3 linked regions of the Schizosaccharomyces pombe genome follow. Each later gene encodes a partner of the first gene's protein in a complex. Each region holds a gene or a part of one and is shown on either strand. Other genes may lie near its edges.

Region 1 (7,349 bases):
GAAGGAAAATATGAGGAGAACTGTTGAGATGCCAAACTTTTTTTTTTTAAAGGGGATAAAAAAAGAGTGTAATCAAACAAAAAGCCACCGCGAAGAACAACAAGGAAAGAAGGTCGGTAAAATAGACAGAGAAAGAATAAAAACAATCGATTGAACCTGCACACAGTAATAGCACAGATAAACAAGAAAAGACACTTGAAAAACTTAATGTACTTCAGAAGAGTCTATTTCAAAAAAAGCCTGGAAAATAAATTTCAAAAAGATAAACGCCATCCACACTTTAAATAGAATTAGACACTAACTAGGAAATAAGAAACGTATTGTCGAAACAATGTACGTCAAGAGGAGAATCGGAAATGTAAGGAAAGGAGAAAGAATTAACAGTCAAATAATAACTGAAACAAGGCACGTGAAGGACAAAAAACGAATCCTATAACATATATACTAAATGTCTGATAGATTGGTTAAGGATGTCAATTTTATACATCCAAACTAAAAAATATAAAATAACAGACAAACGCTTTGCGGTTTTCCTATTTCACAAAGGAAAAACCAAAATTGAATGATAAATGAAGTGTATCCTATGCGAATTGTAAAGAACAAATCAGCTTTTAACACTTAAAAACGAATTTTAGTGCAATAATCTTCAATGATCTGAAACTCTGCAGTGAACTCGTATTTTACAATTCGAATAAATGAAGTTATTGCAACTTAGAAGTAAAAATCTTCTAGTGTAAAAGATTCTCTTTCCTTTCTAAGCTTACTAACTGGTCAAGTGGCGAAAAGCCGGATATCGACGATTAATCGTTTTTGAATGTTTTCACTGACTTCTAGTAAAAACCTTGATACTTTTAATTACTCAAACTTTCTGAATCCGTCAAAACTCTTTCTTAACAAATAATTTCAATCTCACTCATGTATATGGAGGATTGTCAGTTTAATGCATGTCGTTGTCGCGACTAAACAAATTTTATAATAACCTAATATTTCCAGGTAACACAGGTAACGATGCTTAAGGCACCATGTGGAAATTCTGAATCGACATTACATACTTTTGTGGGGGTAGGGTCAAACTACGGTTATCTGCCGAACAACATGTCCATGAGCTCGCAGATATCGTCCACTCGTTGTGGTCGATAGTGGAACATCCCAGTTTTAGCTCTTCCAGTAGATTTAACGGGGCGTTGCCTCCACGAAGAGACTTAACATCGCTAGCACACTACTAGCATAGTAGCAGTTCACCTTGAAAATAACTACACATACAAATATGCTACTATTTCGATAACGACATTTTAGGTTAACACTTGGATCTCCGGGTTGGCTTCTATCTATATGCCGATCGTTATGTGAATCGTGTGAAAATGCACATTTCTACACTTGCAAAAACTGACGAAAAGTTATAACTAAACACAACAGTCAACATAATAGTATGCTGTAGTAAACTAGACTTGGGCGTTCAAGAATTTCTTACTCATAAAAAAAAATTCGTTCTATTCAAAGACTAAATTTAAGAATCCCTACAAACTCATGTTAAGTAGCAGAGAAGTCATTATTATCAATCAATCAATCACCTTTTACAAAAATGACTTCAACAAAAAGGCAAGTCCATGTTCATACATAAATTTTGTTCATCATCGGATATAGAATTCATGCATTAAGGTGGTAGTTTCTATGCATACAAATCATCAGCACCATCATTTCCGAAGCTTGGTCCATTAGTATTACTATCAGCCGAATCAAACTGGAATCCTGTAAGACCACGCGAGGTAAGGAGTTGATGGGCATAAGCTTCATAACGACGGACTTCTGCATCACTGACAGAGCGGCGTGCCATTTTCATGGCCTCCTCCACATGATGACGCTGAACTTGAGACACAGATGCATCTTCGTCCATAACAACATCGTCAGCAGGAGCCTCTCCAGTCTCATTTTCGCGCTTGATGTCTTCTTCAATGCTGTCCTTGATGGCCAATTTAACAGCTCTTTGTACAACAAACTCCAAATCAGCACCTGAGAAGCCATGGGTCGCCTTAGCAACTGCACGCAAGTCAACATCTTCAGCAACAGGCGTATGTCTCAATTGAGTTTGCAAAATGCTGAAGCGAGCTTCTTCATCGGGTAAGGGAACGTAGATTAATTGATCCAAACGACCGGGACGCATCAAGGCAGGATCAATCTGATCGGGACGGTTGGTAGCACCAATAACAAATACATTCTTCTTGCTGTTAACACCATCCATCTCAGTAAGAAGTTGGTTGACAACACGATCACCACCACCAGAGTCACCAGCAGAAGCGCCACGTGCTTTGGCAATAGAATCCAACTCATCTAAGAAAACGACACAAGGAGCTGCAGCACGAGCCTTGTCAAATATATCACGAACGTTTGATTCAGACTCACCAAACCACATGCTAAGCAATTCGGGTCCCTTTACTGAAATAAAGTTGGCAGAACATTCGTTGGCAATGGCTTTCGCCAACAATGTCTTACCTGTACCAGGGGGTCCGAAAAACAAAACACCTTTGCTGGGAGTGACACCAAAACGCAAAAACTTTTCGGCATACATAACAGGCATCTGGACAGTTTCACGTAATTCACGCTTAACTTCTTCCAATCCACCAATGTCTTCCCAACGAACATTGGGAACTTCCACAACGGTTTCACGCAAAGCAGAAGGATTGCTGGAACCAAGGGCAAATCTGAAGTTATCCATTGTAACACCTAGAGAGTCTAAAACCTCGGCATCAATCTCATCTTCATCCAAGTCAATCATATCCATCTTTTCACGAATCTGTTGCATGGCAGCTTCAGAACACAAAGATGCCAAATCAGATCCAACGTAACCATGAGTCTCAGCAGCAATTTGCTCAAGATCAACGTCATCAGCAAGCTTCATGTTCTTTGTGTGAATACGAAGGATCTCTAAGCGGCCGGTGGGATCAGGAATACCAACATCGACTTCACGATCAAAACGACCAAAACGTCTCAATGCCGGATCGATAGAGTTAGGACGATTGGTAGCGGCCATTACTACAACATTACTACGAGCTTTCATACCATCCATTAAAGTCAATAATTGTGAAACAACACGTCGTTCAACTTCACCATTCGTTTTTTCACGCTTGGGAGCAATAGAATCTATCTCATCAATAAAAATAATAGCAGGGGAATTTTTTTCGGCTTCTTCAAACGCCTTCCGCAAATTAGACTCAGATTCGCCTGCCATTTTTGACATAATCTCAGGACCATTAATCAGGAAAAAGAAAGCGCCCGTTTCATTAGCAACTGCGCGAGCCATTAAAGTTTTACCGGTACCTGGAGGACCATACATAAGGATACCACGAGGTGGCTTGATACCTATACTTTTGAATAATTGGGGATGACGGAGGGGAAGCTCGACAAGCTCACGGATTTGAGCCATCTGGCGACGACAACCACCGATATCGTCATAGCCAACTTCTGCCAAGCTACTTTCTTCATCCTCACGATTAATGGGTTCACCTTCCCAATGAATAATTGTATCCTGGCTAACAATGCCAAATTCATCAGGAGCAACATCAACAACTTTAAATTCAACTTGACGCATACTACCCCGTACAACGAAAAGATCGCCCTTTCGAATAGGACGATACGCTTCAACAAAGTACGGCTTAAGGTAAACATCAAAGAGAGAACCAGTAAGACCCTCGACGGTATCAGCCAAGGGTAGTACTGAAATTCGTTCAGCATATTTAATATCTGGACAAGGATTGATCGTTACAATATCGCCTAACCTTACGCGCAAGTTGTTACGAACAACACGATTAATTCTTGCTACGCCATCTTCCATTTCTTCGTCAGTTAAAACAATCAAGACAGTGTCTTTCCGTCTCTTTCCTTTAACGACAACTGTGTCACCACGGAAAAGTTGTAAAGTCTCCATGGTATTGGACGACAATGTGATTACTGAGTTATCATCGTTGGTAGCGTCATCGACCACTAGAGAATTTGGTTTTCTTTTTTTACGAAGAATAGCTGTTGCTGTGTCTTCTGCACTATATGTACTGAGCTTGTTAGCATCGAATTCTAAAAAAAAGTTACTGCTACATCGAAAACATACTCTTTTGGAGGGTTTTCACCCTGAAGGTGTTCCACTTCTGGTTTCTTATCGGTCATGGTGGATGGTGCGTTCATTCGACCATGCACCATGCGCTTATATATGAGCATTCAATTTATAAAGATACATGAAATTATTGCTCAAAAAGGTAAATTATTTCTAAATATTCTTCTAATTGTTTTTTTTCTGTATAATAACATCTGTAAGCAGTTGAGTCTTTCTGCTACATAGCTGCCTCGCAAGGTCGTTACTACCAATTTCCATTATTTTCGCTAGATTGTTTTTATTTAACGCATCTCTAGAAAACACGTATTGTATAAATTGCCAAATTTAATTTATCTATTCTTCTTTTACCAAGGAAACGTCGTTGCTATTAGAATGTTCCAAGAACATCAATAGTAAACAATTTTCTAGTAAAATCTACGAGGAAATTTTAAACTACAGAAATGCAAAAATTCGAACGACCGCCCTATATCTAAATGTGCTTAAAACTTCATTACTAAGCATAAAATAAACATTTTGAGTGTTATCCGTTTTCAATTGAAATGAAACTTGGTTGGCGGTTTAGTAAGCTAAATATTTTAGTTTGAAACCCTTGCAATATTATTTATCATTATAACTATAAACATCAATTTTCTAGAAAGCGTTTTGTAAAAGTGTTTAGCAGTAAGTTAAGGCTAATCAAATATTCTTCTTTTATGGTTATTGATTGTATTGCACAATCAATAATAAAATTAGTTCAATCTTTAATAAGGAATTTAATGTGTTTTAAATATCCATACTTACTGTTCGTTATATGGCTTATGGTGTGGAATCCTTTATGATACACGCTGTCAGGCTCATTGTACAAACTGCTGAATCCCTACCTTAGTGGCCATAAAAATTAATCAATTGTAAAATGGAGGAGGGAATTTTATTAAAAAAATACGTTGAAAGTATGTTAAAAATAAAAAACTAGCTCTAACTGTTGCAGGTAGCGATAAAGACATACGTTACATGGCACTCAGCGATTTAGCTGCCCGACTTAATGATGCAAACCATTTGAAAAATCTCAAATTGGAGAGCTTTCCTGATACACTCGATGTTTTATTACAAGCACTGAGTGATGCTTCGCCAGAGGTTCAACAAGAGGCAGTTCGTTGTGTTGCTATAATTTCTAGCAAAATTCCACAAGATAAGTTAAAATCTACTGTTGAAAATTTGCTTTCTGGAGTTGCTGGGAAGAAATCGAAAAATTACTTGTCTGCTCTCAGTTTGCTTTTGTCCAACTCGAACGTCCAACCTTTCGTAAACAAATTTTATACTTCGACTGTATTCCCTTCATTTTTACAAATTTTAAAACAGTACAACGTTGCTCAAGAGGAATTTTTTGCAATTCTCTGTGTGGTCTGTGATTCTCTAGAAATATACCATTCTAATCTTTCGACTCTTCTACCTAACAATTTTGAATTGTGTATAGACGTATTCCAAAAATGTACGACACAATGCCAAAGAGAATTAATTATTAAAAAGGCTTGCTATCTCCTTTCTGACGTATCACTTTATGGGCCTCGCTTTGCATACAAATATATAATTGAGGTGCTTGATCGAGGTTTGGGACCCTCGACCCAAATGTCCGAGGTAAATATTTCTATTAAATTGCTTAACGAAATACTTCTGTCATCTAAAAAAGAAAAAGATTCATCTACATCATTCATCTCAACAGCAGTTGCTGACTACACCAATAAAATATTATCGTTATTAAAGAAGGAAGAAGCCCCAGATGAGTTAACGCAAAAATTGTTGGAGGTTTTAGGATTGTTATTAGAGTACCAACAAGTGAATATTTTGAAAATTTGGCCAGAATTACATGGTCTCTTAATCTCTAAAATTTCTTATGATCCCAATTTAATATCTGATACTAATGATGAAGATGATATCGCTGACTTTCTCGAAGAAATGAGTGACTATAGCAGCATTTACGAAGATGAAGAAGATGTATCTTGGATTGTTAGAAGAGAATCTTTGAAAGTCGTTTTGTCTGTAATTTTGTCACGTTTAGAGTATTTGCCTATAGTCCTTCAAGCACTAGGGACTTCTGTGGTTAGTAAGTTAAACGATAGAGAGGAATCTGTTTGCTTGATTTCTATCGAAGTATTAAAACAAGCATTCTTGCATGTTCCTCGTTGGATAGAGGTGTATGCAACTTCTAATGATAGAAAGCGTCGTTATGAAGGGTTACCATCGGACCGTTCAGCAATATCGGATACTTCTATTTATTTAGTGTCTGTAATTGGAAAGCATGTCTCTAAGTTATCTGATAAAACTCCACTTTCCATTGTATCTGAATTACTGAACCTAGTTACAGTGATTTTTTCTTCAAGAGATCTTGGTGTTCAGTCCGAATTTTCAAATCTGAGCTCAATTATATACCGTTTTCCTGATTTTTCAACCCTTGATATAAAAATTAAGCTGAATTTAGTTCGCTTAATATCAGCTATCATTTCTTGCGGCTGCGAAGAGATAGAAAACATGGAATCTAAAATGTCAACTATATTAAGTTTAGCGGTACAAAACAACTACCCACAACTTTCATACGAGGCCTTAATTACTGAGCTGTCATTTTGCAAATATATTCATAAAAAGCAACCCACTAACGTCTCAACAGATTTTTCCACAATGATTGATTCTTCACTTCAACTTTTGGAATCTAAAATTTCTGACTTGAAAGTTCGTTTAGCTTTGATAGATCTGGTCTCTCAATACGTAATTCTTTTCTATGAGCCTGATTTTGATTCTATATTCCTGAGACGTGTCTTAATTATTTTATGTAAAAAATTACAGGAAGAGCCCACTAGAAGTGCTGCTGCAAGAGCGTTATGTGATATTTTCATGTCCGTTACAGATATTACTAAGATAGAAAATGGAACAAAAATTTATGAAGAAATACTCCAGGATTGCTGTAGGCATATCGACAAAAGTGGCAATGAATTTACGACTGCTTATTTGGAACTATTAGAAGTGCTCTTGAAAGTTGGACAAAAATATCTCGCTGAAAGCTTGCTTGAACATATCTTAGGTTTACTGATCGAGACTCTTAAAAGAAACACTGAGAATACGGTTGCAATTTTAAAATGTTTGCTAATCATACCTTTGAGTATCCTTTTGAAATCAAAAAATTTACTAATAGACACTATAATTTCTCATCTGCAATCATCAACCATACATTTGAACGAAGAGTCCGTTTGTTTGCTAAGCAGAATTATTGCTGTTA
Region 2 (9,822 bases), on another chromosome or scaffold:
AACCTGACCGACAATTGTTGCATGGGTGATATGATTGTTTGTCACCTTCAAGCTCTCAAGTGCGGGTTCAAGAAGCTTCGCAAAATGATAAAGCTTTTCATTTTGCATCTCTTGTTGAGCGTATTTGAAGTTAAAAATTGTAATTTCATGACTATAATCTCTTTTGCTTATTGATTCTTTAGTGATCTTTCCTTGTTGTACTAGAAAATCGTGGATTGAATCAAGGAGCATCACACATATAGAGGAAAGCAAAACGCTTGTATCTTTACACCACTCTATTTTGATTTTGATGGCTTGCAATTCTTTTGCATCCTCATTCTCATCTTGACCTTGAGTATAGATATTGCAAAGTTTATCTAAACAACTTTGCAGGTTAGTATATTCTCTCTAGTAATTAAAGTTTGCAATGCTTACAGAGATGTGGATTGAATGTTTAGGTAGTTTTTTAAATTCCACCCATCATCTATTCCTTGCATAAACGGTTGTTCCACGTTGCTCATTTTACTGTTATTAATGTGCGTTGTTCTAGTAGGATTCGTCTTGAATAAAAGTTTAAAACAAACCAGGTGTAGTTGTTGTGTCATAACAAATGATATCGGTTTTTTACTAGCTGTTTATTCTTATAGCTCCTAGCAAGTAAACACTCGAATCATTGCGTACACTAATCTACCAAACACAAACAATAACAAAAACCTTGTTATACTATAAGTTTCTTTAAATATCTTAAATAACTTACATTTTTTAAATCAGTTATATGGAATTTTATTGAGAAATTATTTGTTTACTTCAGTCGTTATTAAAGTTCTCATTTTCACATTCTATTCAAGCAATGGACATTTAAATTTTCGACTTTAGCTACAATAAAACTCAAATCAGGTAATCGACTTTGCATACAAACAAACACTAAACTCGTATAAACTTTTAACGATCAAAACAAAACAGACACATTCATTCACTAGTAACTAAATAACACTAAACTTCATTATAATGTATCATAAAAAAAAAGAACCAAAGATATCACACCATTAAAATACCAATTTTTTTTTAAAGTGCCTAAACAAATGTAAAGCTGCTGCGGCACAGTGGACAGCGGCTTGAATTTGAAGATTTGAACCATTTGTATAAACATGATGCGTGGAATTTGTGCCTACATGTTCCACATCGTTTATTTGGCAAAGTACGCTCCACAGACAAGACAGAATAGCAAATAGCACATTCTTCAACGCCTTCAAAGTGCATGGATATATTCTTCTTCAAAACTAGTAACGCATCAGTGATAGAGCCATTTTGCGATGATAAGATACTTTGAGAAGCCAAAATCCATGAGCGCCATTGTCGTTCGTTAACACCGACTCTTTCTATTCCTTCTACTTGAACATTTTGTAGGGGATATACAGAGGGAATTTTGATGGCCATTTCCAGTTTGTGCTCATCAACATTATAGATGAAAGATATCTCTCTGGTGTTTCTGTTAACTTTCACATTAACATCACCAACAGATTGAAAATCTTCGGATTCAATTGATCTCTCCACATCGTCTAAGGAAGCAGAAATCAACAGCGGGGAAACATTGTACCCTGTAAACGATTCAACAGTAGAAGTGAAGGCTCTATTCTTAACTTCAGACCAATAACTTCTAACAGAAGAAGAAAGATGTCTAAGACATTGATAATAGATATGAATTGCAAGACATCGAATACGATCTGTAGCAGAGGAATAATCCATAAGGTTGTAATCAATTTTGGGATACTTATCAACGTTAATTGGCCTGTCATATGATAAATTAAGAATTTCAACTAAAGTATTAAGCAAAGGACGTAATAAATCCATAGCATGAAGTTGGTTAATAATTGACAGCTTTATATTGTAAGTGGTTTCCTCAAAATGATAAAAGATAAGATCCCAAACTAAAAGATACACACGCAACGCATGTTCATATTTCTCCATTTTGCTTACCATTACAAACGGATCTCCAGGAAAATCAATAGCGAGAGATAGAAGTTCTGGGCATAATGAAACATCAGGTTCGTAATCACTTTCAACCATGTAGTAAACAGTAAGTTCCTTAAGCTCATGACTTAATTTTTCGCGTAAAAATTTCATACAAACAGACTCCATTTGCAAATCATTCGAGTTACACAACGATGGAAAAAACTCTTGATATTGAAAACTGCGAACAACCTTCCCTGGACAGTTTTCTAAAAGCTTCACCAAATATTGGTTACACATACGTGCGGTTACCGAGTTTCTCAGGGTAGATTCGTGAGTAAAGAGAAATCGTTTCAACAAAAGATAATTCATGGATTCATTAGACTCAACAATACAATCTTTAATATCAGAGTTCATTTCATAGTTCTTGGATAAAGCATTATAAAGTCGAAGAGCAAATAGTTCAAACGATTTTACTATTGGGGCATCCACTACAGACATCTTCATAGCATATTTAATATAATCGAAAATGCTATTCCAATAAGAACCAGATAACGAAAAAACAGTGGGTAAAAAATAGTACATGAAACGAAGAAAGCAACAAACAGGTAATAGCTCTAAAGATTTAATTCCACTTTCAGAACACCAATTGGTAATATTTTCCAAAAAAAGTCTGCATCTTGTGATAGGAAGAAGGGGCTTCTCAGTAATCTGTTGAGTGGTAGCCGCATTCAAAATCAACAGAGACTTAGAAACTTCATTAGCAGAGTGAAGTTTACCTGTTAGATCGTTTACTGCTTTAAAACGAATTCGTTGAATAATTTCAGAATCTACTTCTAATGGCTTCAATCCTTCTAAAATAGAAGATACGAAAATAGGGGATTTTGAAGAGCTCAAGCCCAGCTTTCCTAAAACAACATCAACGTGTTTCTCATCCATTTCTAACAAATTTGAGACAACAATCAAAAAATCTGTTAACCCTTGAGCGGCAAATATAGAAAAAGAAGTAGTATTCTCTGCAGATGACAAATTTTTAAATCTTTTAAACAATACAGGCATTTTCCCATCTATATCATCAATTAAAAGCTCATTTAATACTGTCAAAGCATCCTTATCGCGCATAAATTTAACCACTTCACCTTTGAAGTAGCATTCAAAAGATTCCACAAATATTCCAGCATCTCGGATGGGAACATCAATTATGCTTTGTATGCCATTTTGTAAATAAATTCGTATTAACAAATAAGCAAACGTAAGGTTAAATAAAGCATCACCGTCGCATCCGGTAGTTTCAACATAATATAAAGTGTATAAGGAGGCATGGAATATATGCACAAATTGAGTACCTACGTCTGTCATATCAACATTTATGGGCTCTGAGGCAACTAAATCTAGAAATCCGAGAATAAAATCTTGGTCAATGAACAACTTGTTAGAGAAAAAAGGAATGCAAGAGGATATTTTTGCATCCCAAAAAGAGGCAGGAAACGTAAAGAAGTTTGAAGGGAGTTTTCCAAACGAATTGAAAACAAGAACACACTTATCAGCAGCTAACTTTTCATTTATAGAACCATTCAAAACCTTATTCAATGACCATTCCTGCACTTCTGAACATAGTTTAAGAGAAAAACCGGAATCTTCTAATGCTTTCTCTTTCAATAGGGAGAAGATACTTTCAAAATGAGCTGCAACATGGCCATCATCTTCTGGTTTACTGAAAAGGATCACAGGAAGCAAAGAATACAAGGATTTATTTTCATCAAATATTGTTGGAAGATGAGCTTTCAGAGAATGCAATGATGCGCACAAAATAATCAAATGATTATCAACCCAATCATTCGTAAGAAAATACTCCAAGGTCGTAAACAAAATATTTTTAATCGTTTCTTCTGGAACAAGGATTTCCTTAGACCCAATGCACGCTCTTATCATATCCCAATCGTTTCCTGGGTTTTGCATAATAGCAAATACTGCTGTATCATAGTATTCTACTAATGTTTTTACCAAGGAAATTTTCCCCCTTAGTTTTCCATCAGCAAACAAAGAGGGAAGACTATTTAAAACCCTAATATTTTCCAGTTCATCAAAGGACACTGTGAATTGATTAGCAACATTTTCCCAAGGCTCAGAGAGATCCGCGTAATCTTTAAGAAGTAAAAGAATATCACGAAGCAAAGTAAAGGCTGGAGATTGAGGCCCAAGCTTTAAAATCGAAGAAGGCAAATCATTCACCAAATATTTTTGAAAAAGTTCCTTAACGGGTTTAATCAATGTAGTATCACTGAATATGTGACAAACAGTTATTAACTGGGATGCCGATAAACATGCAATACGTTCATTTTTGTGGGTAGACAATTTCATTAAAAATGACAAACAAGGTCCCAGAATCGACATGACTTCATTTCCAGTTTGAAAATTTCTATTTTTAAGATATAAAACTGTTTGAACGGTTAAGCTTAAGTTACGTGATAAAGAATCAAATGGGATAGTTTCAATGTCCATAGATTCATCATTAAAGAAACCAAATAACACTTCGTTCCAGAGCGAGGCGAAATCTGAATTTTTATCGAATACACTTTGCAAGCAATGATCGAAATCAGACGTTGAACAGCGTAGAACAAATTCACCTTTAAAATACCTGGTAAATATAGTCCTTAAACGGTCACGGACATGATCCTTAATTTGAGGATCGGAAGAATCGGTATAAACAAATGACAAGAAATTGAGTAAACAGTCATAAACTTCAGTAGATAGGAAACGTTGTTCTTGATTTGCAGTTTCTAAGAATGCATCACACAATTCGTCTACACTTTCAATGGAAGGAACGAGCTGCATAGCGCCTATACTTTTAAACAAATTCAGCAAGGATGTGTAAAACCCAGAATTAGGAAGGCTGATTCGCTTGGTGATCAAATTTGAGAACAACTTTGAAAGAGGACGTTTTGAATCATTTGCAAATTGGTGAACCTCGTTGGGGAAATTAGAAATCATGTTACTAAGAAGCCTAAGCATAGGGACGCAGGTCAAACTAGTTAGTCGTGAAATCATTCGTGAAACACGTTTAAAATATTTCTCTTTATATTGGGTAACAAAAGGTTTATCATACTTCAAGATAATGAGCAATAAATCGCTCAGGCTCACTGTGACACCATCCTGAGGTGAGGAAACCAAAGACCAAAATTCGTCAGACTTGAAAAGTGTAGACAAGTTCTCGTAAAGAGATGACTTAAAGGTTTGCTTATCTATCTTCTTATCTGTCTCTAGATTTTCTAAATCGGCAGTCTGTTTGAAAAGAAAAGAAAGGGTCAGAAGACAGCTAGATTTAACTCTGGTAACTTTCGATTCAGCTTCTTCATTTGAAAAAAAACGCAAATCCGTTAACGATTCTTTGTCTTCATGTAAAAAAACATCAGTGACTATAGGTGCGATAGTAGATCCAAACTTCAGCCAAACATGGGGCCACTTTTCTTCGGAGAGTAAATTTTTAAAAGAGTCTTTTGCTGATACAGAGACTGCACGATCTGAATCAAAAAAACCCATAACCCAAGGTGTGATATAGAATTTGAGCCATGGTGCAAGTTTTTTTTGAAGCGCAGAAGATAGAACAGACATGAAGACAAAGATTTTTAACCGCACATGTCGTTCCACTTCTATAGATAGTCGAGGAAATAAAACTGCCAAAGCATTTAGAAACTGTTCATTGTCAAACTGTGATGGGTCATTCCACTGAATTAAATCTTGTAAAGCTCGACATTTCGTTACGATGTCACGCTTTTGCAAATTCTTCACAATAACAATCATTTCTGCGTCTAAACCAGACAAGTCTGGAGGCTCATATATCGTACTAAAATTTGAGCTGGACTCATCCAACGCAATTTGCAAGGATGAAAACGATCCTGACATCGATTGCATCCCGGGATTTTTACGGCTATAAAGAGATTAGCATTTCGGCACATACATAAAGAAAAAAGAATCGTTGTATTTTTAAACAAACTTCCCCAAAATATGGAAAAGTATGGATTTGTAATAACATAGGTGTTCTGCATATATCCAATGAGAAAGACCCTATTTTGTGTGCAAACCCATTTTGTTACCATCTTCTCACATCTTTACTTACCCGTATAAATCCGTAGATTTTTTTTTCATCTTTTTTTTTAGTTTACAATGCAATGGAATGCAGCGGATCAATTTGGCACAAAGAATGAAAAATTACAAAGGAAATCAGATATCAGTCTGTCCGACGTTATCATAGGTTATTGATAACGTTGTTTTAAGCAATTCATTGTGGTATGCAATGCTTTATAAACTGATACTTTAAAGCTTAACTATTTGTGATGACGGAAAAGGAATTAAGTAGCTTGCTAAACTGTATATCATGTCAGCAATACTACACTACGCTATGATACACTACGTTGCGTATCACTATATGTCACATGTTCTAATTATATATCGTACCATGTATGATACGATATGGAGATTGATCTTAATGATAATCTATTAAGATCAATATTATCTGAATACTATAAATAGAGCTACTGCTGAACCTCGTTCCTCAGTTCAGTTATGAGCTATATTAGTGATAGGTAACATTATAACCCAGTTAATACAATACCTATACTCAGTTGCTACTTATACAACCTGTGTATTGTAATATAATAGATCACAAGGAAAACTCACCGCAGTTCTACGTATCCTTAAATCAGATACCAAACTGCGTAGCTTACATATCAGATTCTTTAATTGCAATCGCAAAACTTATTTAAAGTAACTTATCAAACGGTGTCATCTACAAAATACCTTATCTAATTTAAGGATGCAGTAAAAATACGATGATTTTTATTGCGATCTGTTCAATATTGCGTTAGTTACAGAAAACGTTGGAAACTTGGTTAGTATGATGTGACTATCCAGCAAAATTTAAAGATTTTACGCAAAAGGTTTATAGAACATAATTCACTGGTATCATAGGAATCAATTACAATTTGACAAACTGCAATTCTATAGAAGTCTTCAAACTAAGACATTGAATTATTAAGATATGCAACATGTGTAAGGTTGGCAACTAACGTAAATTATTTAGCATTGTTGCGTTAATGAAGTTTTACAGCAATCTCTAACGAGAATTTAGGTTTTACGCGCACGCCGTATGAAGGAGGTAGTACACTACGAAAAGAAGGACTCCCTTTCTACCGTGTCTTGTCTTGTAAAATTAGTGGAGATGATGCAAGTATAGTGCATAATGAATATTGCTCAAGAGGTTGCTGTTTTACAATATCTTGATATTCAGCAAGAAAATCCTAATGCTCCCAACGAAGAACTCTTCAATCGAACGGCAGAAAGCAGCCTGCTTTTAGAGCCAATTGAACAAGATCAATTAAAGGATCTGGTCGAGGAATGGATGCATGATAGCAATAAATCTGATTCAAAGCTTCTCTCCAACCAAGTTTCTCAAAACGATAATGATGCTCGAAAAAATCTACGAAAAAGGCTGCGGAACGATGTCCTAAAGGATTTGGCTGAAGAGATACAGGGATGTGAAAAAAAACTGGAAAGCTTATATGAAGAGGTTGCAAAGGCAAAGGCAAAAGCTGTGGAGGATCAACTCGCACTTGAAGAAGCTGACAAGGAAGCAAAAAAAGCGAAAACTGAAGCTCCTGTAGAGGCTGCTAATAAATCTCTTCGTTCTAGAAAGAAAACACCAGAGATTGCAGCTCCTGCAAATATCGAACCCGAAGTTGCACCCACAACTAAGACTCCAAAAAAGCGCGCTGCCCTGTCTAATGAAGAAAAGCAGTCTTTGAAAAAGTTCCAAAGTGCAATGCTTCCTATGCTCGACAATATTTCTAATCACAGGTTTGGAGCACCTTTTAGTCATCCTGTAAATCGTAAAGAGGCACCAGATTACGATTCTTTAGTTTATAAACCTCAAGACTTACGAACATTGAAGAATATGATCAAAGAGGGTAACATCACGGAAGTGGATGAATTGTATCGAGAAGTTCTTCGAATCTTTGCTAATTGTAAAATGTACAATGGCAGCGATCCAGCCAACGCCATGTCCATATGGGGAGATGAATGTTTTCGCTACACAGAAGAGCTTTTCGATATTTATCGTCAGGCAAGTACCCGTTCTCAATGAGTGTTTTACATTTTAATTATATTCCTTAACATTTTTTGTTTATGCTTTGGATTCATATCATTTTTTGGCTATAATTTTGACGACTTGGGGGTACATATTTTTTAAATGGTACTATATTTTATTTTTATCAAATTTATGTTTTTTTTTATATCATAACCGTGTATTTATTTCGTATAGATTCAAATCAAGTATGAGATAATTTACAATTTAGTTTTTTGTAACTATATAACAGCTGGTAAAAAGTTTCAACTTCCATACGTTCATATAAAAAAAAAATAAAATCTTCAATAGGTAAAATTAAGCGTTCTTCAATGTTGACTCCATTCTATAGTACTAAGATCGACACCCTCCTGAACCAAATCCCATAACGGGCTCATATTCCTTAAGAAAGAAACTTGTCTACTCACATTTTCAATAGCATAATCAATTTCGGCTTCAGTTGTAAATCGGCCAATACCAAAACGAATAGAACTGTGAGCATTTTCATCACTCTGACCAATTGCACGCAAAACGTAAGACGGTTCTAGAGATGCGGATGTGCAGGCAGAACCAGAAGACAGCGCGATATTTTTCAAACCCATAAGCAACGATTCCCCTTCTACATAATTGAAAGAAATGTTGACACAACCTGGATATCTAGATTTAGGGTCGCCATTCAAAGATGTATATGGGATTGCAAGAAGGCCATCTATTAATCTTTGGGATAGTTTGGAAATATGTGCATAATCATACTTCATTTCTTCTTTGCATATACGGGCCGCAGTACCAAATCCCACTACTTGAGATGGAGCAAGAGTACCACTTCGTAAACCTCGTTCCTGACCTCCACCACTAATAAGCGGCTCTAAACGTACACGAGGACGTCTTCTAACATAAGCGGCTCCAATTCCTTTAGGGCCGTAAATTTTGTGAGCAGAAATAGACATTAAATCAATGTTCATTCGATTGACGTCAATGTCAATTTTTCCATATCCTTGAGCAGCATCTGAGTGAAAGAAAACCTTCTTCTGTCGACAAATTTTGCCAATCTCTTCTAGTGGTTGACAAACACCAATTTCATTATTGACGGCCATTACACTTACACAAACAGTATCAGGACGTATGGCGTCACGTAATTCATCCAAATTAATAAGGCCATTAGTTTGAACAGGTAGAAAAGTAACTTCAAACCCTTCTTCTTGGAGAGCACGTAAGGAATCCAAAACGCATTTGTGCTCAGTTTGAACGGAAACAAGATGCTTTTTCCTACTTTTGTAAAATCGGGCAACACCTTTCAAAATAGCATTATTTGATTCAGTTGCGCCAGATGTAAAAATAATTTCTCTTGGATCAGCATTGATTACAGATGCTATCTCTTGGCGTGCATTTTCAACAGCTTTTTCTGCTTCCCAGCCATAGGCGTGTGTTCGACTATGTGGGTTTCCATAAATTCCAGTGAAGAAGGGAAGCATACTATCTAGTACACGATAGTCGAGAGGAGAGGTAGCTTGAAAATCCATATATATAGGATGCAATCCCGTAACCGTACTAGCAGCGGTTTGTGCTTGATCCAAAGTTACTGTTTTCAAAGAATTTTCCGGTATGGGCTCTTGAACCGCCGTCATGTTTCCTAGCCCGTACATTTGTTCACGAGGTTTATTGCTCATTGAAGGTTTGTCCATACGACTGGAAGTCATAAACGACCTACCGTAAACTCCAAGACTCTGTCTAACATTATTAATATCCTGACTCTCTCGCTTGACAAAAAATAAAGC
Region 3 (8,060 bases), on another chromosome or scaffold:
CTGAAGTGCCATTTTAAATGCTTACTTATACGTATTCATTTTACAAGTCTTTCTTTCCCGTATACAGCTTTTCAGTATGAATCGTCAAAGACCGTTCCAGCAGATGAATGATTTGATGAAGCGGGGACTTCCTAAAGGAAAATATGCTTTTACAGGAACTGGTTTGTTGTTAGCTCTTGGCCTTGCAGGATTTGCTGTGCAGACTTCTCTTTTTAACGTTGATGGTGGTCACCGAGCTATTAAGTATAGCAGGATTGGAGGAATTAAAAACCTTATATATCCTGAAGGAACCCACTTCTTGATTCCTTGGATCGAAACGGCCATTGATTACGATGTTCGTGCTAAACCACGAAATATATCTTCTCTAACCGGAACGAAAGGTAGGTTACAAGAATTAAAACGTTGAGCGTACATAACTAAAGGTGACTGTAAGAAACATTCATTTGGTTTTTATACCTACTGTGAATTAAGCTTTTAGTTGCAAAGTGATGAATTGTGTTTATGGATTCTACTCTTCTCGAATAGCTAAGCTTTGAGGGGTTTTTGTTGGTTGTATTACTAGAAATATGTTAACCATTTTTCTTTAGATTTACAAATGGTGAACATTAATTGTCGTGTTTTGTCTCGTCCCGATGTTCATGCTTTGCCAAAAATTTATCGTACTTTAGGTGGTGATTATGATGAACGTGTTTTGCCCTCTATTGTTAATGAAGTCTTAAAAAGCGTTGTAGCTCAATTTAATGCAAGCCAGTTGATCACCCAGCGTGAACGTGTATCTAGGTTGGTTCGCGAGAATTTAATGAAGAGAGCAGCCCGATTCAATATTTTGCTTGATGATGTCTCACTTACTCATGGTATGACTAACATTAGTCAAGCGTTTGTACCTTAAAATACTAACTGCATCCAATAGTTCAATTCTCTCCTGAATTTACAGCCGCTGTAGAGGCCAAGCAAATTGCCCAGCAAGATGCTCAAAGAGGTATGGTTCAGCTCTTCGTACAAATTCAATATTAACAATAATTTTTTAGCTACTTTCTATGTCGATCGTGCTCGAATGGAAAAACAGGGCTTTATTGTTCGTGCTCAAGGTGAAGGTAGAGCAGCGCAACTAATTGGTGAAGCTATTAAAAATAAGCCTGGTTTCATCGAGTTAAGAAAGCTTGAAACTGCTCGTGAAATTGCAAACATTCTTTCAAAGAGCAATAACAAGGTCATGCTTAATGCCAGCACATTACTTTTAGATGATATTAAATGAAGTCTAATGTAGGAATTGTCATTTTATTAATAAACAAATTTAACTTTTTGATACAAAATTCTCTTTGAAAACCATAATATTCGCTGATTTCTTCAATTTCTGTTTAAAAAAACAAAAACAAAAACAAAATCAAACAGTGAAGTAGCTCCAACTATTAATCTCAAATAAATATTTTCATTTCTTTGACTTTTTGGTATTACCGCTAGATCCAAAAACCATCTTTAAACGACTCACACTTATAGGAGCAACAATTTCACCGTCTTTAAGGTTTTCAAGATAAGCAGCTTCTTTTGATGACTTGGGAAGTTTTTTCATGAAGTAGGCGATTGATTCCCTTGCCGCTTTCCCAACTTTTCCAGTTCCAGGCATGACTTTTACCTTCTGGTTAAATTTAGTCATAGCATTGTATGGGGCAAATGTCGGAACAGCGTTTATCACAGTATCCTGCTGTTGAGGATTAGGGGTTAAAGAATCAATTGCAAAAAATATTTCTTCGAATAAACTCCTCGGCATCTCTTGTCTTTGAAAACTTTCAACCTTCGCATGCTTTTTTTCGTCTCTCTGTTCAGTAGACAAACCTTTTTCATTCTCAGCTTCACTGTTACGACTTTGGTCTTCAATTACTTCTGCACTAATGGGCTCGGAGACGCCATCTTCTTCAATCTCTGATTCGGCAGTGGGTGTTTGAACGTTTGATGAATCATTAGAAGGAATTTGAGACGAAATTTCCATTTCTCGAGCCGCATGCTTCTTCTTAGCCTTTTTTTGTTTTAAAATTGCCAAAATAGTTTGTGGGTCTGTAGCATCCTCTATTGAAATAGGTGCTTTAAGAGATTCCTCCAAAGCAGTTTGCCTTCTAGCGCGACGTGCTTCACGCCTTTCTTTGGCAGATACTTTCTTAGCTGTTATAACTTTAGAACCTTTTTTACCACGCTTTTCGCTGACAATATGGATGTCTGAACCAGTGGTATCAGGAGTACTTTGATTGTTGGTGTCCTCATTGTAACTGACTTCAGACACAACATCTTGAATGTTATCTTCAGAAGTTACCGAAGTACCTTCCATTTTAAGTTCCGACACCTTTCCTTGAGTTTCAACAACCTCCATTTCTAACCTTCTAGCTTTGCGACGCTCAGAACTTTTTTCATCTAACTGCCATAATATTCCATATCCCATAATGAGGACAGTAGGAGGTAAATAGTTTTTTTTGGCCCGAATAGCAAAACTTCCTGTTGGAAGAATTTCACCTGTTGGAGCAAGTTTCGATACCTCATCAATTCGAACCCACCATGCACTGATTACGGTCTTTGAATCCCATGCTTTAGATGAAGCCAAAGCCAAGGATCCAGCTTGTTGTAGAGTATTAGGGGGAATAGGATCATGAGGATTTTTGTTTTTTACAATAATTATCGAAGACTTTGGCAAATCTGCACAAACAAAGATATCACCTGTGTTGCAATACTTTTGGAAAAGTAATTCATTTTGCTGGGCATCACGGCCTCCCAGAACTAGATAACCTTCCGAAGAAATAAACCAATGAAACTTTTCAAAAAAGAATGTCTTTCTACCAAGGAGAATACGTTGTGTATCTGCAGTAGTAGAGCGCTTCAAATCCTGTTCAATCTTGCGTTGGGTGCTTTTCAGGGCTTTTGAGGCTGCCTCCGCAGTCTTTGTTTCTTTAATTAAAGCTTCTCGACGTAATTCATACTGTTTACGCGCATTTGCAAAGGCGCCAAGAGATAAATCCAATTCAACGGCAATAAACTTTGACGAAACTTTTCCTTCCTTCACTTTATTATCATCATCAGAATCATCCAAATCATCATCGCTGGTTTCTGAACTTTCATCAGAATTATCTACAGACTCTGGATTAGGAAGAAAAACGGTAACGGCGTTTTTTATAAGTTTAAGGGGAATTTGAATAGCAGCAGCTACCGGACTTCTTCTTTTTTGAGATTGAATTAACTTTTCAATATCTAACCAATCCATTCCTTGGTTCAACAGAGAGTTAATGTATGAGATAATAGCCTCAACAAGTTCAGGGTTCATCTCAATTGCCTGAGCCCTCAACGCACAAGTAGCTTGGGCATCTTGTAAACTTTGAAGTTTTCGTGCTTGATCCTCTTTAGCCGATTCAAGCCTTCGCTCAGCTGTCGCTAGGCGATCATGTGCTCGTTTTTTTAGCTTTTGTGCTTCGATAGAAGAGAAAAACTCGTCAACGCATTCGTTATAGGTTGGAAACTCCATGCACTTTCTGTTTGCCTGAACGAGCTGTAAAGGCTGAAAAGGGTGAAAATCTTCGTATAATGTAGTACATTCTTCAGGGTGTTGAGGATCAGCAGCATTTGTTAGTGCTTGCTCCAGTGAAAATATATAACCCTTTACTGGGGGCTTATTAACTGCAGCTAATATGGAGTCGGCTTCTTGAAAAGCAGCTAATAAATCGTTTTTCTTGGTTTCGTCTGCACAGAGCTGGCAAGCAGGGAATAGTGGATCTAATTTTGAACGCCGAAGACAGTGCTCTATAAGTGCATTACCATATTCACCTAATCTTATAGTCAATGCTTTTCTAAGAGAAACTGGTTTGGGTACTTTAATCGGCTTTGTAGAAGAGGATAGTTGTTGGTCAGGTAAAGGTTCGTTAATAGAAGTAGGAGAAGCATAAGCAGTGCTTATTTCATCCAAAAGGATATTTAATCGTTCAGCTGTCATATGAGGAATAGTAGACTGAGATTTATTGTCATTAACGAGATTATTTTTGTCTAAATTGTACTTTTGCCCTACGGCATAAACTTGGTCTTTATCGAAGGTGACCACTCGTAAAAGAGACAGAATCTTGTAATGGCCGTCTAATAGTAAAACATTTCCAGCAGCGAAAAATTCACAAACCAGATAGTACGTCCAATCGGGGTCTTGATCATTCGCACCACCTCCAAATGTGAAAACGAGTACTCGATCAGTACCCAACTGAGAGACACCAGTTAACCTTCTAGATTTTATATGTTTTCGTAGCTTCGTTACAAACCCAGACAAAGGGGCATTTTCTCGATCAAATTTTGTTAAATGAGCACGAAACCCACTTTCAATAACAATAGAATATTTTGCATCCTTTAACGGGTTAGTAAAAAAATATTTATTACTTTCTACACATACTTGTTTACCAAACTTCAACAAGAAGGTACGCGCATTTAGATCATAAAAGTTATTCAAGCGACACCCAACCACTTGTTCTCGTAATTCCGCAGCAATCGCAGCAATATCTAAAGCGGAAAATCTTTGCTTCATTTACGTCTATAACACCTATCTAAATGAATTTCTGCGTTACAACAAAATGAAGTATAGGCTCTAGTTAGAATGTAAACATGTGTATAACGTAAGTGAAACTGAAGCACTAACAAAGCGCAATGATATCCGCAATATGTAATAAGGAAAATTATAGCACACCATTGCACCATAAAACGGTGTACATTAGCAGCATTAAAATTCTTAGCGCAAATTTGGATTGTTCTCTCAAATTCATTATTTCTTTCCCGACGATGATTCTTTAATCGTACATTTATAGTCGTACATGACACTGATTATAAAGATAAAAAATAGTTAACTAATGATAAACTTATAAAAAACTTTGACACCTAATATGTCAAACTGGTGTGACCAACCCAATAAGTAAAACCAGAAAGTCAAGAGTTATCGTTGCTGAATCTAATCAAGTGAGCCGAAAGTTGATTAATCATAATTTCTGATTACCCCGTATCTCATTTTTTCAACGACATCCAGAAACTCTTAATTGAAAAAGATGGCTCTAAATGTTTACCAAATAACGAGTACTAAAGTCGAATACAATAGCCTTTTAAACAGTATAATGCAGTTTAATGGAGCATCGGTAATGGCGTTTGATATTTTCAACGAGTAAATAATAATGGAAATTTGGCGTACCCACAAACTTTGTGCATTAACATATTGATTTGTTCATATCTGAGAATTTTAAGTGATCCAATTTTTGAAAGAGTTTGAGTTGGGATTTTTAAGGTAAATCGATTATTGGCTTGCTTTGGTTGTTCTCAGAAATTCGACAATGGTGAAAAACACTGTTAAACACGTCGACTCTTCCAAGCATTTAGAGAAAGTTGCATCCTTAATCAAAGAAGGAAAAGGTAATGACTTTTAATTTTCTTTCCTTGACCATACTAATGCGATTTTATCGAAAATAGTAAAGAAAATATGTGTTATGGTTGGTGCAGGGATCAGCACTGCAGCAGGAATCCCTGATTTTCGAAGCCCTGAGACTGGAATTTACAATAATTTACAAAGATTTAATCTTCCTTACGCAGAAGCTGTTTTTGATCTATCTTATTTTCGAAAAAATCCGCGTCCATTCTACGAATTGGCTCACGAATTGATGCCTGAAAAGTATAGACCAACTTATACTCATTATTTTATACGCCTTTTACATGATAAAAGGTTACTACAAAAATGTTATACCCAAAATATTGATACCTTGGAGCGTTTGGCAGGTGTGCCTGACAAAGCTCTGATTGAAGCACATGGCTCTTTCCAATACAGCCGCTGTATTGAATGTTACGAAATGGTAAGGATTGTTTTTGAAAAAGTTAAAGTGAAAAAGCAGAAATTGGTTTTACTGACGGAAAACAAAGGCGGAAACGGAGTATGTTAGAGCATGTATTATGCAAAAACAGGTCCCTAAATGCAACAGTTGCAAAGGTCTCATCAAACCAATGATTGTGTTTTATGGCGAGGGATTACCAATGCGTTTCTTCGAGCACATGGAAAAGGACACAAAAGTCTGTGATATGGCACTGGTAATTGGAACAAGTTTACTTGTTCATCCATTCGCGGATTTGCCTGAAATAGTGCCAAATAAATGTCAACGAGTTTTGATTAATCGAGAACCAGCTGGCGACTTTGGGGAGAGAAAAAAGGATATCATGATATTGGGGGATTGTGATTCCCAAGTACGTGCGTTATGTAAACTATTAGGATGGTCTGATGAATTGGAAAAGTTGATTGATACGAGTGTTGAAACGCTGACAGAAGAAATATCTTTACTTTCTGTTGACTCTACAATAGAAAAGAATGCCTCTGAACAAAAGAAAGACGATAACTCGGTCAATCCTTTCACTAAAATAGAGGAGAAGAAAAAAGACGAGGTGACGCTGTTAGTTTCTGATGATGAATAGTTCAGTTATTCGGGAAATTTTCTATATTGTCATGATTAAAACTAGGAGATCCCTATATTTATTATACTAAGAAAACGGAAATTCACGATTCGGTTTGATGAATATTTGAATCTACACATACGATTCGTTTTCTTTTAAACAAGTTTAAATACTTTTTTTTATTTCAGCAATTTTATAATATTTCCTTCCAGGCGTCCTTTTGATTGCCTCTTAACCATGAATCATATTGCTCTCTTTATGAGTTGTATGCTGGGTTAAACTAATGCGAAAAGGATAACAAAAAGGGGGTTCTGTATACGATCTCGATCAAACTCATGAAGATGCCCTCGCATTTTCGTGAAAATAACTTGCATTTTTTTTAAAATTGGCGTCCATCTATATACGCAATTTGGGTTATGAGAAAGTTGCGCTAGAATAATTGATAATGGTTTCAAATTTACTGCACTGTAATCTAATACAATCTTTGTCGAAACCTTTTTTCTGTTCAGTTTGGAACATATAGTTCTGAAATGGGAGATTATTCATTTTCATTTAATAAAACTTTGAATTATCCAAGAATTGGAAATAGGAATAATTAATCAAATTGTTCTTTTTGTAGTTTCATTCAAGAATAATGCTTCCTTTGAAAAACTAAAGCGTTTTCTACGAATTGTATATTGTAACAGGGGACGGTGTATAAACCAGTTAGTCCATCATCATAACCAGTTCTGATTTGAATTTTGTTCTTGTGGTCATTATTGTTCATAAAATGAACTAGAGATGTAAAGACATAATTCATATTACAGAAAACAAGTATCTAAGCGCTTGAACAATTATCAGTTAATTTTAGAACAATTATTAAATTTATATCTATTTTATCTGCATATATCTATGTACCTTTGGGTAACTTATGAGTTGTACGAATTACTGACTACATGGCTGTCACCTCCTGTTCGGTTTGCTAAGAATTTACCGATTCTAACGCTTCCTTCTACCTAGCTATACAAGATTCATGAATTTGATCTATATGAATGCTTAGCAAATAAATAATTGTTCGAAAGCCAGATATATGATTTATAATTAACGTTTTTAGATTTGACGTCAATAGGGATCTTAGGTCTCAATTTCTTTGTTTTGCCATCTTTTTATACAGGCGTGTTAAGCGGTCTGGAAAGAATTTAAAAATAAAAGGGAATGATAAATCGTGTTATCGTTGCAATTGATCAATTCTTATCATTTTAAGAACTACTCACTTTTTTACAGTAGTTAATAAAAGTTCATTTGTAATCTTTATCTTGATTCCTTTCGTTGAGGATCCTCTGAACAAAAGAATTGGAAATTTACACATTATAACAATGAACCCCAAGCGATTGAGGATCACCGGTCCTGAGGATTTGACTGATGCTTACGACACAATGCCGTTTCGTTGTTTAAATGGAAGCATGCCTCCTAAGACACCATTAAATTTTGTCTTTAAGGAAAATGACTCACACGTTTCAAATGGCGTAGGATTGAAAAAAGATTGCATTGAATCAATAGATGATTTGAACTTAGACGACTGGTCAGAACAACAAGAATCCATTTTGCTAATGGTATGACAAAGATGCTGAAAAGAATTAAGGAAGGAG

What was found.
Region 2: cdc48 (region 1) and rkr1 share a complex: the UniProt entries of both Schizosaccharomyces pombe proteins name them as parts of the ribosome quality control complex.
Region 3: cdc48 (region 1) and rqc2 share a complex: the UniProt entries of both Schizosaccharomyces pombe proteins name them as parts of the ribosome quality control complex.

The regions. Positions count from the first base shown.
Region 1 is NC_003424.3:1,303,263-1,310,611, reverse strand, and holds cdc48 (AAA family ATPase involved in ubiquitin-mediated protein degradation Cdc48), read right to left. Parts: upstream 4,168-7,349; 5' UTR 4,156-4,167; coding exon 4,100-4,155; intron 4,044-4,099; coding exon 1,670-4,043; 3' UTR 1,346-1,669; downstream 1-1,345. Other genes in the region: knd1 (cullin-associated NEDD8-dissociated protein 1), read left to right, coding at 4,995-5,031, 5,070-7,349. UniProt on the Schizosaccharomyces pombe protein: ATP-dependent chaperone which probably uses the energy provided by ATP hydrolysis to generate mechanical force to unfold substrate proteins, disassemble protein complexes, and disaggregate protein aggregates.
Region 2 is NC_003423.3:2,422,820-2,432,641, reverse strand, and holds rkr1 (ubiquitin-protein ligase E3), read right to left. Parts: upstream 6,121-9,822; 5' UTR 6,076-6,120; coding exon 6,047-6,075; intron 5,858-6,046; coding exon 1,054-5,857; 3' UTR 920-1,053; downstream 1-919. Other genes in the region: SPOM_SPBC21D10.08C (uncharacterized protein), read right to left, coding at 1-364, 415-500; bdc1 (bromodomain-containing protein 1), read left to right, coding at 7,169-8,068; cysteine desulfurase Nfs1, read right to left, coding at 8,377-9,822. UniProt on the Schizosaccharomyces pombe protein: E3 ubiquitin-protein ligase component of the ribosome quality control complex (RQC), a ribosome-associated complex that mediates ubiquitination and extraction of incompletely synthesized nascent chains for proteasomal degradation.
Region 3 is NC_003421.2:1,323,768-1,331,827, forward strand, and holds rqc2 (ribosome quality control complex subunit Rqc2), read right to left. Parts: upstream 4,607-8,060; 5' UTR 4,541-4,606; coding exon 4,409-4,540; intron 4,364-4,408; coding exon 1,430-4,363; 3' UTR 1,290-1,429; downstream 1-1,289. Other genes in the region: prohibitin Phb2, read left to right, coding at 77-380, 588-854, 911-979, 1,029-1,255; histone deacetylase, Sirtuin family, NAD-dependent Hst2, read left to right, coding at 5,331-5,409, 5,467-5,843, 5,911-6,453; SPOM_SPCC132.03 (uncharacterized protein), read left to right, coding at 7,788-8,024. UniProt on the Schizosaccharomyces pombe protein: Key component of the ribosome quality control complex (RQC), a ribosome-associated complex that mediates the extraction of incompletely synthesized nascent chains from stalled ribosomes as well as their ubiquitin-mediated proteasomal degradation.